2 linked regions of the Ovis aries genome follow. The main gene of each other region encodes a partner of the protein of the gene in region 2 in a complex. Links are inferred from orthologs where the notes say so. Each region holds a gene or a part of one and is shown on either strand. Other genes may lie near its edges.

Region 1 (5,224 bases), on a different chromosome or scaffold from region 2:
TCCCACCGCTCCCCGGGAGGCTCGGAGCTGGGGGCCTGGCGTTCTCCCTCCCCAAGCCTGCTGTGTTGGCGCTGGGGTCCCCACGCGCCCGGGGGCCCAGGACCTCGGAAGCCTGGTCCTGTCCACGGGTCGCGGTGGGGGCCTTGGGGTGGGGCATGTCCCAGCGCCCGCCGGGGCCAGCGGGTGGTCATGGAGGCCTGGGGGACACAGCTGAGTGGGGCCTGGCGGCACAGGGGCTGTGGCCGGGCCGCCACCCTCTGGCTGGAGAATCCCCTGGGGTTCCACCCAGAGAATTGACGTGGTGTCTGTGGGCCCCGCAGGCAGGGGTGCAGTCAGGGGATGTGGGCAGTGGACAGGAAGCGGTGTGGGGAGGATGGGCCTGCTTACAGCTCTTCTGAGCTGGCTGAGGCCTTGGGTCCAGGCCACCCCCGCGCCAGCTCTGCTTGGGACCCGCCGACGTGCAGGGGTGAGGCCGGGGCGGGGCTCCCGGTGGTCTCAGAGAGCCAGGCCCTGTCCCTGGGCTGGGTACCCCCCCCCCCGACAACCCGCTGCCCTGGCTGGAGCCCCTTCCCGCAGCCGCTGCCTGTCAGTGGCCAGAGGCCCCTATCAGGGGTCGGGGTTTGGCTGTGCCCCAGCCCCCAGCGGAGAGTCTGCAGAGGCCGGGTTGAGGGTCCTCGTGGAGACATGGCAGTCTTCCTCCTGAACCTGTCTGTTCCGTGTCCCGCCTGCTCTGAGAGTGGACGGAGCCCTGGCTCCCGGCTTCCAGTCTCTCCTCTGAGGCCCTCAGCGGGAAGCTAGCATTGGGGGGGGGGGTTCCTGGGACAACGGGGGGCTGGTCCTTTGTGGGGGTGGCCGGGACCCCTGCTCGGGGCCCTCAGACCCCGTGAACCTGGTGTCCTGTCCCCCTCGCATGGCTCCAGCAAGGAAGTGAAGCCCAGAAAGGGGGGTGGGCGTGCAGGCCTGTGGGCCGGGGTCCAGTACCCCCGTCTCAGGGGAGACCCCCCTGACGGCTGGCCTTGTCTTGCAGATCCTGACTGGGCCTCGTACACCCTGGGGGTGTTCATCTGTCTGAGCTGCTCTGGGATTCACCGGAACATCCCCCACGTCAGCAAGGTCAAGTCCGTGCGCCTGGACACCTGGGAGGACGTGCAAGTGGAGGTATGGCCGGGCCGGGGGGGCCGGTGGGGGGGTGCCTGCCTGCTGCCATGCGGCCTCAGGCCTCAGACCCAGCCAGGGGGGTGCGTGCCCGCTGCCACGGCAGCCTCAGACCCAGCCTGTAGCCCAGCCCGCGCAGGCCCCTGCCTGCCCGGTACCCCGGGAACCCACACGGGCCCCTTGTGGTCAGGGCGTCGTGGGTGACTCACACAGAGTCGCAGAAGGTAACAGGAGCCAGGCCTTGGCCTGCTGTCCGCCCACAGAGTCCCGGGCCCACCCCGGCCTCCGTGCCAACTCAGAGTCCACACGTACCCTAGCGAGGCCGCCCCGAGCACGCGGCCACACACCATGTGGCTGGAAGCACCCCCACGCTAGGGCCAGATGGGAGGGCGAGGCCACCTGGACACAAGCCCACAGCACGCGCACCTCGTGAGGAGTGGGGGACAGGGAGGTCCCGGGGGGGCTGGGCTGGGCTGGGGGTGAGGAGCGAGCGGGGTCTGGGGTGAGGGGCTCCAGCCTCTTCTGCTCTCTGCTCCGTGCTCCCTCGAGACCTCGAGGGGCCGGGGGCGCTGAGCCTGCAAGGCGCTGGTGAGTCCTGGGCCGGAGGTCATGAGCCAGGCCGGCTCCGGGGAGGCCCAGGGTGCGGAGAGCTGGGCACAGGGCGCCCTGGTCTGTTTGGCGTTTCTCGCTGAACTTTGTCTCTCTGTGGCACGTGCTCTAGAGCAGCTTTACTGAGATACGGCGCGCGCTGTGTGACTCGCTCTTTTAGGGGCGCTTCAGCGGTTTTTGGCACGCTCACCGAGCGTGCGGTCGTCCCCATCATCAGCTTTGGAACACTCCCATCACCTCAGATGGAGCCCGGGCCTCCGCTCCAGCCCGCCCCAGGCCTGAGCCCCGCACGGGTGCTTCCCCTTTCTGAGGCCGGTGACACCCACCGTGCGGCTGGACCCCGGTCGTGTTGGCGTGCACAGCTCCGGGAGTGCGGGGGCCCTGCTGAGGCTTGCTGTGCTCACGGGGTGCGGGGGGGGGGTCCTTCCCAGACAGCCCCTGGGCCAACGGATGGCCCCACGGACGCATCGTCCTGCCGGGGCAGCAAGGCGGCCTCCATTCCTGGAGGGGAAGTCGGAAGGCTCTGACTGTAACTTCAAGGATTCTGCCAGGCTTCCTCTCCTGGCCACGCCCGCAGGCCTCTGCCTGGCAGCCTCACTCAGGCCCCTCCCTGCCCATCCCCGCCTTGGGGGCCGTTGTAGAACCAGGTGTGACCTCCAGGCCCTGGGCTGGGCTGCCCGCTGTCACCAGCGTGGGTTGCTTCCGTTTTGTGGGGGTTTCACAGAGGCGGGTTCGCGGCCCTCAGAGACAGTAGCTGAAGACGTTTCTCGGAGGTTGTCCTGACTTTGCTCGTGGTGGTTTGCACGGTGGAAACTTGCAGGCTTTGCAGCGATCAAGTCTACCAGCCTTGCCGTCTGTGGTTCCAGGGTCTGCAGCACACCGAGGCGGGCTTGCTTCGCCCTCGACTATTTTTACTCAGAGCAGCCTGATCTGTGTTGCTCACACACCGCACCCCTCACCCTTCCAGAGTCTACGGTTTGGTGGTTCTCATGAATTCTCAGGGCTGTGTGACCGCCGCCATGATCTAATTTGAGAAGGTTTTCATATCCTCAAATGAGCCCGCACCCACTGGGGCCCCTCGCGGCCCCCGCCCCGGCCCTGCCGAGAGAGGGGCCCTGCCTCCCCGCGGTGGGTCTGTCTGTCTGGGTGCCTCGTGCCGGTGGACTCACCCGTGCGGTCCCAGACCCCCTCCCTCCTCTCGCTGAGCACCGATCTCTAGATCACCCCTGCTGTTGGGGTCTTGGCACTTCTTGTCACGGCGAGGTCACGCGGCCGCGTGGGGACCACAGCTTGTCCGCCCCTCACCAGCCGCACACCTGGCTTGCCCCGTTTTCCCAGGCCTTCTGAGCAGCGGGGTTCAGGGCAGTGCTGTGCCCTCCGCTCTCTGGGAGGGCGCGGCGCTGCCAGGCCTCGGGGTGACCGCCTGACGACTGAGGGTCAGCGGGCTCTGCCCACCACGGCGGCCTGGCCCGCTGGGAGCTCGCCAGGACAGCAGCCCCTCCGCGTCTCGTCTCGTCCGGCCTCAGCCCTCCTCGGGGCGTGCGGGGCGTCTCCTTGTGGTGTCGGCCCCGCCTCCCTGGGGAAGAGTGATGCTGAGCGCTGGTCCATGCGCTGCTTGGCCATTTGTGTCTCTTCTTTGGAGCAATGTTCATTCAGGTCCTTTGCCCACTTTAAAAATGGGTTGTCTTTTTACTACTAAGTTAGGAGATTTATTACTAAGAGCGCTTTATATATTCTGGACACAAAATTCCTTTCAGATTTAGTACTTGCAAGTAAGTCTTCTCATTCTGTGGGTTGTATTTTAACTTTCATTTTGAAATGATATTTTTAAAATGAAAAGGTATGGTTTATATTTTTAAGGAGCTATCTATAATTTTTTAAATCATTGGGGGGCAATTCATATAAAATCCATTTTAAAGTGAACACAGTGGGACATGTGTATGCTGGAATATTACGTGGCCATAAAAGAGAATAAAATCACGCTGTTTACAGCTATATCGATGACCCGAGAGGTTATCCTACCCAGCAAAGTAAGATAAAGACAAATACCACATGATGCCACTTCCATGCGGGATCTAAAACACGACATGGCTGAAGCTGTCTACGAAACCGCAGGGAACTCCCGGGCATGGAGGACAGGCTGCGGCTCCAGAGGGAGTGGGGAAGGGCTGGGGGTCCGGGGTCAGCACGTGCAAACTAGAACCGCAGGATGGATAAACAAGGTCCCGCCGTGCAGCTCGGGCGCTCTGTTCAGCAACGGGAGAGCGCAGACGCGGGTGCCTCTGCACCTTACCGCTACATCAGAAGTCTGCAGCGCTGTAAGTCAACCAGACCTCCGTAAAATAAGTGTTTAGAAAGTGAGTAGTCCAGAGGCAGAAACGCGCAGCGGGGAAAGGAGAGTCTCCTCTGTGAAAGGTGCTGGGAGAGCTGGACGGCCCGCACAGCGTGTCACACCGTGTACAAGAGTGAGTGACCCCAGACCATACAGCCCGTGGGAGCGAGCACAAGCCCGTGGCCGTATTGTTCTGGGTCTGCCTCCTCAGGCAGGGCTACAGAAGCAAAAATAAACAGATGCGGCTGCAGCAAATGAAAGCGGTTTTGCACAAAAAGGAAACTATCAGCAGGATGAAAAGGCCACCTTCTGGATGGCAGAGTGTTTGTAGACGACACTTGTGTTAAGGGTCATTGCACAAAATGTACAGAGAACTCACACAACTCAGTATCAAAAAGTAACAGACGATCCAATTAAAAACGGGCGGAGGACCTGAGCAGACGCTTCTCTGGAGAAGACACACGGTTGTCAGTCAGCAGGTGTGTGAAGGACGCTCAGCGTCGCCATAGAGAAACATTGATCCAGACTGCACCGAGGTGCCGCCTCACGGTGCGAAGCGTGGCCTTCGTTGAGAGTCTGTGGGTAACGGGCTCTCGTGGCCGCCCGGCGGTTAAGACCCCACGCCTCTAGGGCAGGGGCCGTGGGTTCCATCCCCGGTGGGGGAACTACTGAGATCCCACGTGCCATGTGGCCAAAGAAAAAGACTCTACGAACAACAGACGTGGAGAAAAGAATGCCTTCTGCAGCAACGTGAACTGGTGCAGCCCCCGCGGGGGGCAGCGGGGAGCTTCCTCAGAGAACGCGAGACCCACAGCCAGCAGCCCCCCCAGAAGGAGGGCCCCCCAGGCGGCTCGGGCGGCAAAGAGCACGCCCACAGCGCTTCATTCCTGGGTCGGGAAGGTCCCCTGCAGAAGGGAACGGCTGCCCACTCCAGGACTGTGGCCTGGAGACTTCCATGCACAGAGGAGCCTGGGGGGTACAATCCCACTAGAACATTTTTAATCAGAAGGGTCTCTGTGCTCGCGTGTCCCTGCGGCGTGAGCTGTAACAGCCGAGGTGTGGAGCGCCTGCGGGCGGCCTGATGGGAAGCTGTGTTTATACGGCGGAATATTCCGGAGCCAGAAGAGC
Region 2 (5,224 bases):
TAATTTGAAAGATAATTCCGATGTCCAAGAGTTCACTCCTTTCTGCACGGCCCATTTCAATCTTAGGTGTTCACGAATTTAACCAAAGGTAGAGCTGCCCCCGCCCCCATGAGTCGGGTTAATGATTTCTCAAGGCAGAACTGGGGCTCCCAGGCCAGTGCGGCAAAGGCAGACCCTTACACAAGGGTGCTTCCCTGAGGGTTTGCCCAGATCCAGGCTTTCCGGCAGCCTTAGGAATGTCTGTGCTAAACTGTGACCTAGAGAGGTAGGGAGATTCCCACTCACATAGCAACTCCAATTGAGTGGGAACCCACAGTGCCAAAGCGGAAGGATCAGAGCTGCGCTTGGCTCAGCGGGAAAGAACCAAGAACCGGGGAATCAGAGCTCACCTTCCAGCCCCCCGCCCCCACCGTCTCCTCTTTCCTGTCGCTATGGATCTGACCTCTGATCCCCGGCTTTTCCCTTACTGGAGGCTGTGGGTGAATAGCCTCTCTGGGCCTTGTCGTAAAGTAAGTCCTTCCTGGCCCACATCAGAGGACACAGTGAAAGCTGATGGGGCAGAAGCTGATGGGGCTCTGAGGCACTGTCCCTGGGCCGTCCACTCCTCAGGACTAAGTCTTTCCCTCAGCAGATCCTGCAACTGGGGGACGGCTTTATCCCCAGAGAGCAGGGAACTGCGGACTATGTCAGAACCATGGTTACTGTTCAGACTTCAGAGTCTCCTAAATTTTGCTGTGTATTCTTCCCTGCCTGGTCAGTGAGACTAAAAATAGAATGGAAAAGGATAAATAAAACATGTACAAGTTGCAAAAGAAAAATGATTGAAGGATTGCCTCGTCTTTTAGAGTATTTATGCTGGTGACAGTTATTGATCTACTGGATTTAGTAAATTTTGCAGCCCAGAGATCCATCACAAAAATGGGTTGTTAATCTCAAGAGGTGCCGTTAATTTCGTACCCTGAGAGTGTGCCTTGTGGGGGAAGGAGGGCCTCCAGAGACAGGAATATAAATGACAATTCACGTGAAAATGCATGATTTATCAAACTGCTGAGTTAAGCCAAGTAACTGTAAGAGACTTATAGATCTCAGCTGTTTCCCAGTTCAAATAAATCCTGTATTTCAAATGGAAAATGGCCATTCCTGTAAGATAAATAATCTTTCCGTAAATATTGAGAACATATTTCTTTTTCTGAGCAGCACCCTTCTCGCCCCACAGCCCGCTTCCCACTCCGTCTCCCATTCCCTGTCATGGTGCATCAGGAACAGAAAGATAATCTGCCGCCTTCTCCGGTGGCTGCAGTTACCACGGCAGGAACACCCGAGAGCGCGGCAGGGCCCGTGGAGCTCTGCTGAAGTGAGTCAGACCCAGGGCTGAGAGGCGGGAAGCCCAGCGCAGCTCTGGCCTCACTCAGCCCTGCTCGCTGGGCTGGCTGCTCCTCGGCCCATGAGTCTCCAGGATCGGTGACCCTGACGCGGGCCGTGGGACCAGCCTTGAGCACCGTCTCGAAAGGCAGCGTCTCAGAGGAAGGGTGCAGCTTGCAGGCAGCCTCTGTCCCTCCTCTTGCCCTGCCTCCTGGCCCCGCAGGCCTCGGGGTTGTTGCTTCCTGCCGAGCTGTGCTCTGGCACGTCTGGATCCCTTGCGGAGGCCACCGTTTCAGTTCTGCAGGAGCAGCGTGCTCTGCTGGCCTCCAGCTATCCTCTCAGCGTCCCCAGGAAGTCGGTGCTGGTTGGGGGGTCCGTTCCCAAGAGAGCGGAGCTCCGGGCCTGAGTGCAGGAGGTGTAAGAGGGAGTTGGGTGTTCACATGTGCCGTGTTTTATGTGAAGGCTCTCCTGCCCGTCTTGTACCACACTGCCCAGCTGCAGCCCCGCGTCATCGTTCCCACCACCAGGCAGGGGTGTCCCACAGTTAACTCCGCCCTGACCCTGTCTACCTGGTAACAGCATCCGATCCCCGCAGCTTGAGGGCTCTGCCCCACAAGACTGCCCCCACTTCAGAACCAGGTCCCACGGGCTCCAGACCAGAGGATCCCCTGATCCCTCCCTCAGGTTCAGTGAATTTGCTGGAGCGGACCCAAGAGAAGTATTTTACTTACTAGACTATCAGCTTATTAGACAGGGATGTAACTAACATAGGAGCAGCCAGGTGGGAGACACCTGCAGGGGAGGGCAAGGCGCTGCCGTGCTCTCTTGGCACTGGGCTCTGCCCCCATCGCCACGTGTTCTCCTGCCCAGAAGCTCTCCAAACCCTGTTCTTATGGGGGTTTTGTGGAGGTCATTACATAGGCATGGTTGATTAAAGCGTTGGCCACTGGTGAGTGAGTCAGCCTCCAGCCCCTTCCCAGAGGTCAGGGATGGGATGGAAATGTACACCCTTCTAGTCATGTGATTGGTCCCCTTGGCAACCAGCCCCTCCCTTGGGAGTTTTCCAAAAGTCACCCCCCTTAACATAAACTTAGATGTGGTCGTAAGGGGCTTGTTATGAGTATCAGGAAACCTTCATAGCATTTGGGAAACCCCAGGTGTTTTAGGAGTTCTCTACCAAAAAAACAAGACATTTCAGACCAAATGTGTAATTCTTAACTAGAAACCATACTATCATAGGCAGCTATAGGAGCTGTGCTTTATGGAAGGGGGTGGCAATGAGGGGCACTCGGGGCTGCCTTGCTCAGCCCGGGTCAGGGCAGGGAGGGGCAGCAGTGGCTTGCAGCCTGTTGGCGTCTGTTATCCGTGCTCAGAGGTCGCACGGAGAGCTGATGTGGGAACCTTCTGCCCTGCTGCAAGGCCACTCGAGTTCCACCATCAGAGCTGTCTGTCTCCAACAGCGGGATTGGCCTTGAGGCTTTCGGGAGGAATGCCTAACTTTGAACTCTCCCCTTTCCAGGCTCAGCGGGAGAATGGGGGGCTGCACGTGGCCCCCAGCATGCCTGTGGCCCCGCCAGCCACCCCTGTGCCCAAGACCTGTGATGGGCCCCCGAGAGTGACACCCACCTCCCCGGCCCCCGAGGGTGGGGATGGGCCCCCCAGTCCCCTGAGCGAAGCATCCAGCGGCTACTTCTCACACAGTGTCTCCACCGCCACCCTGTCGGACGCCTGTGGCCCGGGTCTGGATGCCATGGCCTCGACCCCTCCGGGCCCCGGCCTGGCCGCCCTCGAGCCCCCGGCTGCCTCGGTGGAGGGAAAGACACCAGGCAGCGGTGCAGCCCTGGCTCCAGCCGGGGCGTCTGCAGAGAAGCAGAACCAGGCAGCAGGCCCGCCACCACCACCCAACCAGGCGAGCAGGAGCTACCCTGCCGCCTCCCAGAAGCCAGAGGACACCCAGCCCCAGGGGAGACCAGTCCCCGGCCCAGAGCCCAACGTCTCCAGGCCACCGCCGCCCTCAGAGCCCCGGTTCCAGCCACCTGCTCCCGCCTCTCCGTTCAGGATCCAGAAGGTGCGGACCTCGGAGCTGAAGTCGTTCACGCGCATGCTTGGCGGGGACCCCGGCGGCCCCTTAGGGACAGCGGAGGACCCACCGGCCTCGGGGGACCTGGGGGATGGTGGCGCTGGGGTTCAGGCCCTGGGAAAGCTGGAAGTCTCCTCAGATTCGGAAGAAGCCAGTGAGGTCCCAGAGTGGCTCAAGGAAGGAGAATACGTGACGGTGGGCACCAACAAGACGGGCGTCGTGAGATACGTGGGGCCCACCGACTTTCAGGAGGGCACCTGGGTTGGAGTGGAGCTGGACTTACCTTCAGGTGAGTGATGCTAGTTTGGGACAGGTGCCTGCCCCCATGCCCACTGCAGTCTAGCTGAAAAGTGTGGGCGCTGCCTAGCACCTGCTGTATGCCCTTGGGCACATCATTGACCTCTCTGAGCCCCGCAGTTAACACTTTTCAAAATCAGGAGTTTTCGCTAGATAAGGCTCTCCTAAGTGTTTTAAGAGTCAGATTCTCTCTCTTTTTATAACTTGCAGAGATTTGTCACAAACTTAAGACATTCATTGAAAGCTACTAAATATTAATTCGATAATGAATTTAAATCCTGGGGTTTAGGTTTTAGTCCCAGAAACAGCTGCGTCTGAAGTGCCATAGCAGCTCTGTGTGCTGCGCTAGCTCAGGTTGCGAAGGCTGATGCCCGCGTGGAGGCTCAGACGCCTCAGGTGTTCCCCAGACATCCCCAGGCTCCTGGGCCCCCAGCAGGAGGATGGAAGGAGAGGTGTCTCCTGTATAGAACGGCTCACCTCCAAGCCAAGACATCATCATTTGCAGAAAAACTGAGGGCAGGGCTTAAAGAATTACTTTCCTGTTGTTTTTTAAAAACTGAGATACAGTTGATTTACAGTATTAGTTTCCAGTGTACAAACTGGTGATACAAAATTTTTATAGATTATACTCCATTTAAAGGTATTATAAAACACTGGCTGTATTCCAGGTGCCATATGATGGATGCTTGTAGCCTACTTTATACACAGTAGCTTGTGCCTGTTAATCCCCGACGTCTGTCTTGGCCTCTCGCTTCCCTCTTTCCAGCTGGTAACCATCAGTTTGTTCTCTGCACCTGCGAGTCTGCTTCTGTTTTGTTATAGTCCTTTGTTTTATTTTTTCAGTTCCACACTTAAGAGATAACACGCAGTATTTGTCTTCCTCTATCTGACTAATTTCACTTAGCATAATGCCCCCTAGGTCTAGCTACATTGTATATAGCAAATGAACTGCAGGTTGGTTTTTTTTTGTTTTTTGGAAATAGTTTTATTGTGATGCAGTTCACATAACAAAAAATCCAGAAGTTTAAAGGGTACAGTTCAGCAGTTCGTACTATATTTCCAGAGTTGTGCAACCTGATTTTACAATGGGTTTTCAGTTCAGTTCAGTCGCTCAGTCATGTCCGACTCTCTGCAACCCCATGAATCGCAGCACGCCTGGCCTCCCTGTCCATCACCAACTCCCGGAGTTCACTCAGACTCACGTCCATCGAGTCCGTGATGCCATCCAGCCATCTCATCCTCTGTTGTCCCCTTCTCCTCCTGCCCCCAATCCCTCCCAGCGTCAGAGTCTTTTCCAATGAGTCACCTCTTCGCATGAGGTGGCCAAAGTACTGGAGTTTCAGCTTTAGCATCAGTCCTTCCAAAGAATACCCAGGGCTGATCTCCTTCAGAATGGACTGGTTGGATCTCCTTGCAGTCCAAGGGACTCTCAAGAGTCTTCTCCAACACCACAGTTCAAAAGCATCAATTCTTCGGAGCTCAGCC

Evidence for each region. The genes of interacting proteins can lie anywhere in the genome.
Region 1: the proteins of KIF13B (region 2) and ADAP1 are in contact, whole or in part, in a crystal structure (PDB 3MDB), measured with the Homo sapiens proteins. The link is inferred for Ovis aries from reciprocal best matches to the Homo sapiens genes KIF13B and ADAP1. Residues at the interface, in NP_056069.2 of Homo sapiens: Val451, Asn452, Leu453, Asn454, Ala455, Asp456, Pro457, Leu463, Arg512, Phe514, Asn516, Gly517, Arg531, Leu533, Asn536, Asn537, Phe539; in NP_006860.2 of Homo sapiens: Trp137, Asn143, Gly144, Gln145, Phe146, Leu147, Pro186, Ala187, Lys188, Ile189, Gly190, His191, Pro192, His193, Tyr211, Glu213.

What each region holds. Positions count from the first base shown.
Region 1 is NC_056077.1:42,153,904-42,159,127, forward strand, and holds part of ADAP1 (arf-GAP with dual PH domain-containing protein 1), read left to right. Parts: 5' UTR 1-339; coding exon 340-466; intron 467-1,027; coding exon 1,028-1,158; intron 1,159-5,224. UniProt on the Homo sapiens protein: GTPase-activating protein for the ADP ribosylation factor family. Binds phosphatidylinositol 3,4,5-trisphosphate (PtdInsP3) and inositol 1,3,4,5-tetrakisphosphate (InsP4). Regulates the incorporation of CD63 and CD9 into multivesicular bodies.
Region 2 is NC_056055.1:103,582,558-103,587,781, reverse strand, and holds part of KIF13B (kinesin-like protein KIF13B), read left to right. Parts: intron 1-2,881; coding exon 2,882-3,731; intron 3,732-5,224. UniProt on the Homo sapiens protein: Involved in reorganization of the cortical cytoskeleton. Regulates axon formation by promoting the formation of extra axons. May be functionally important for the intracellular trafficking of MAGUKs and associated protein complexes.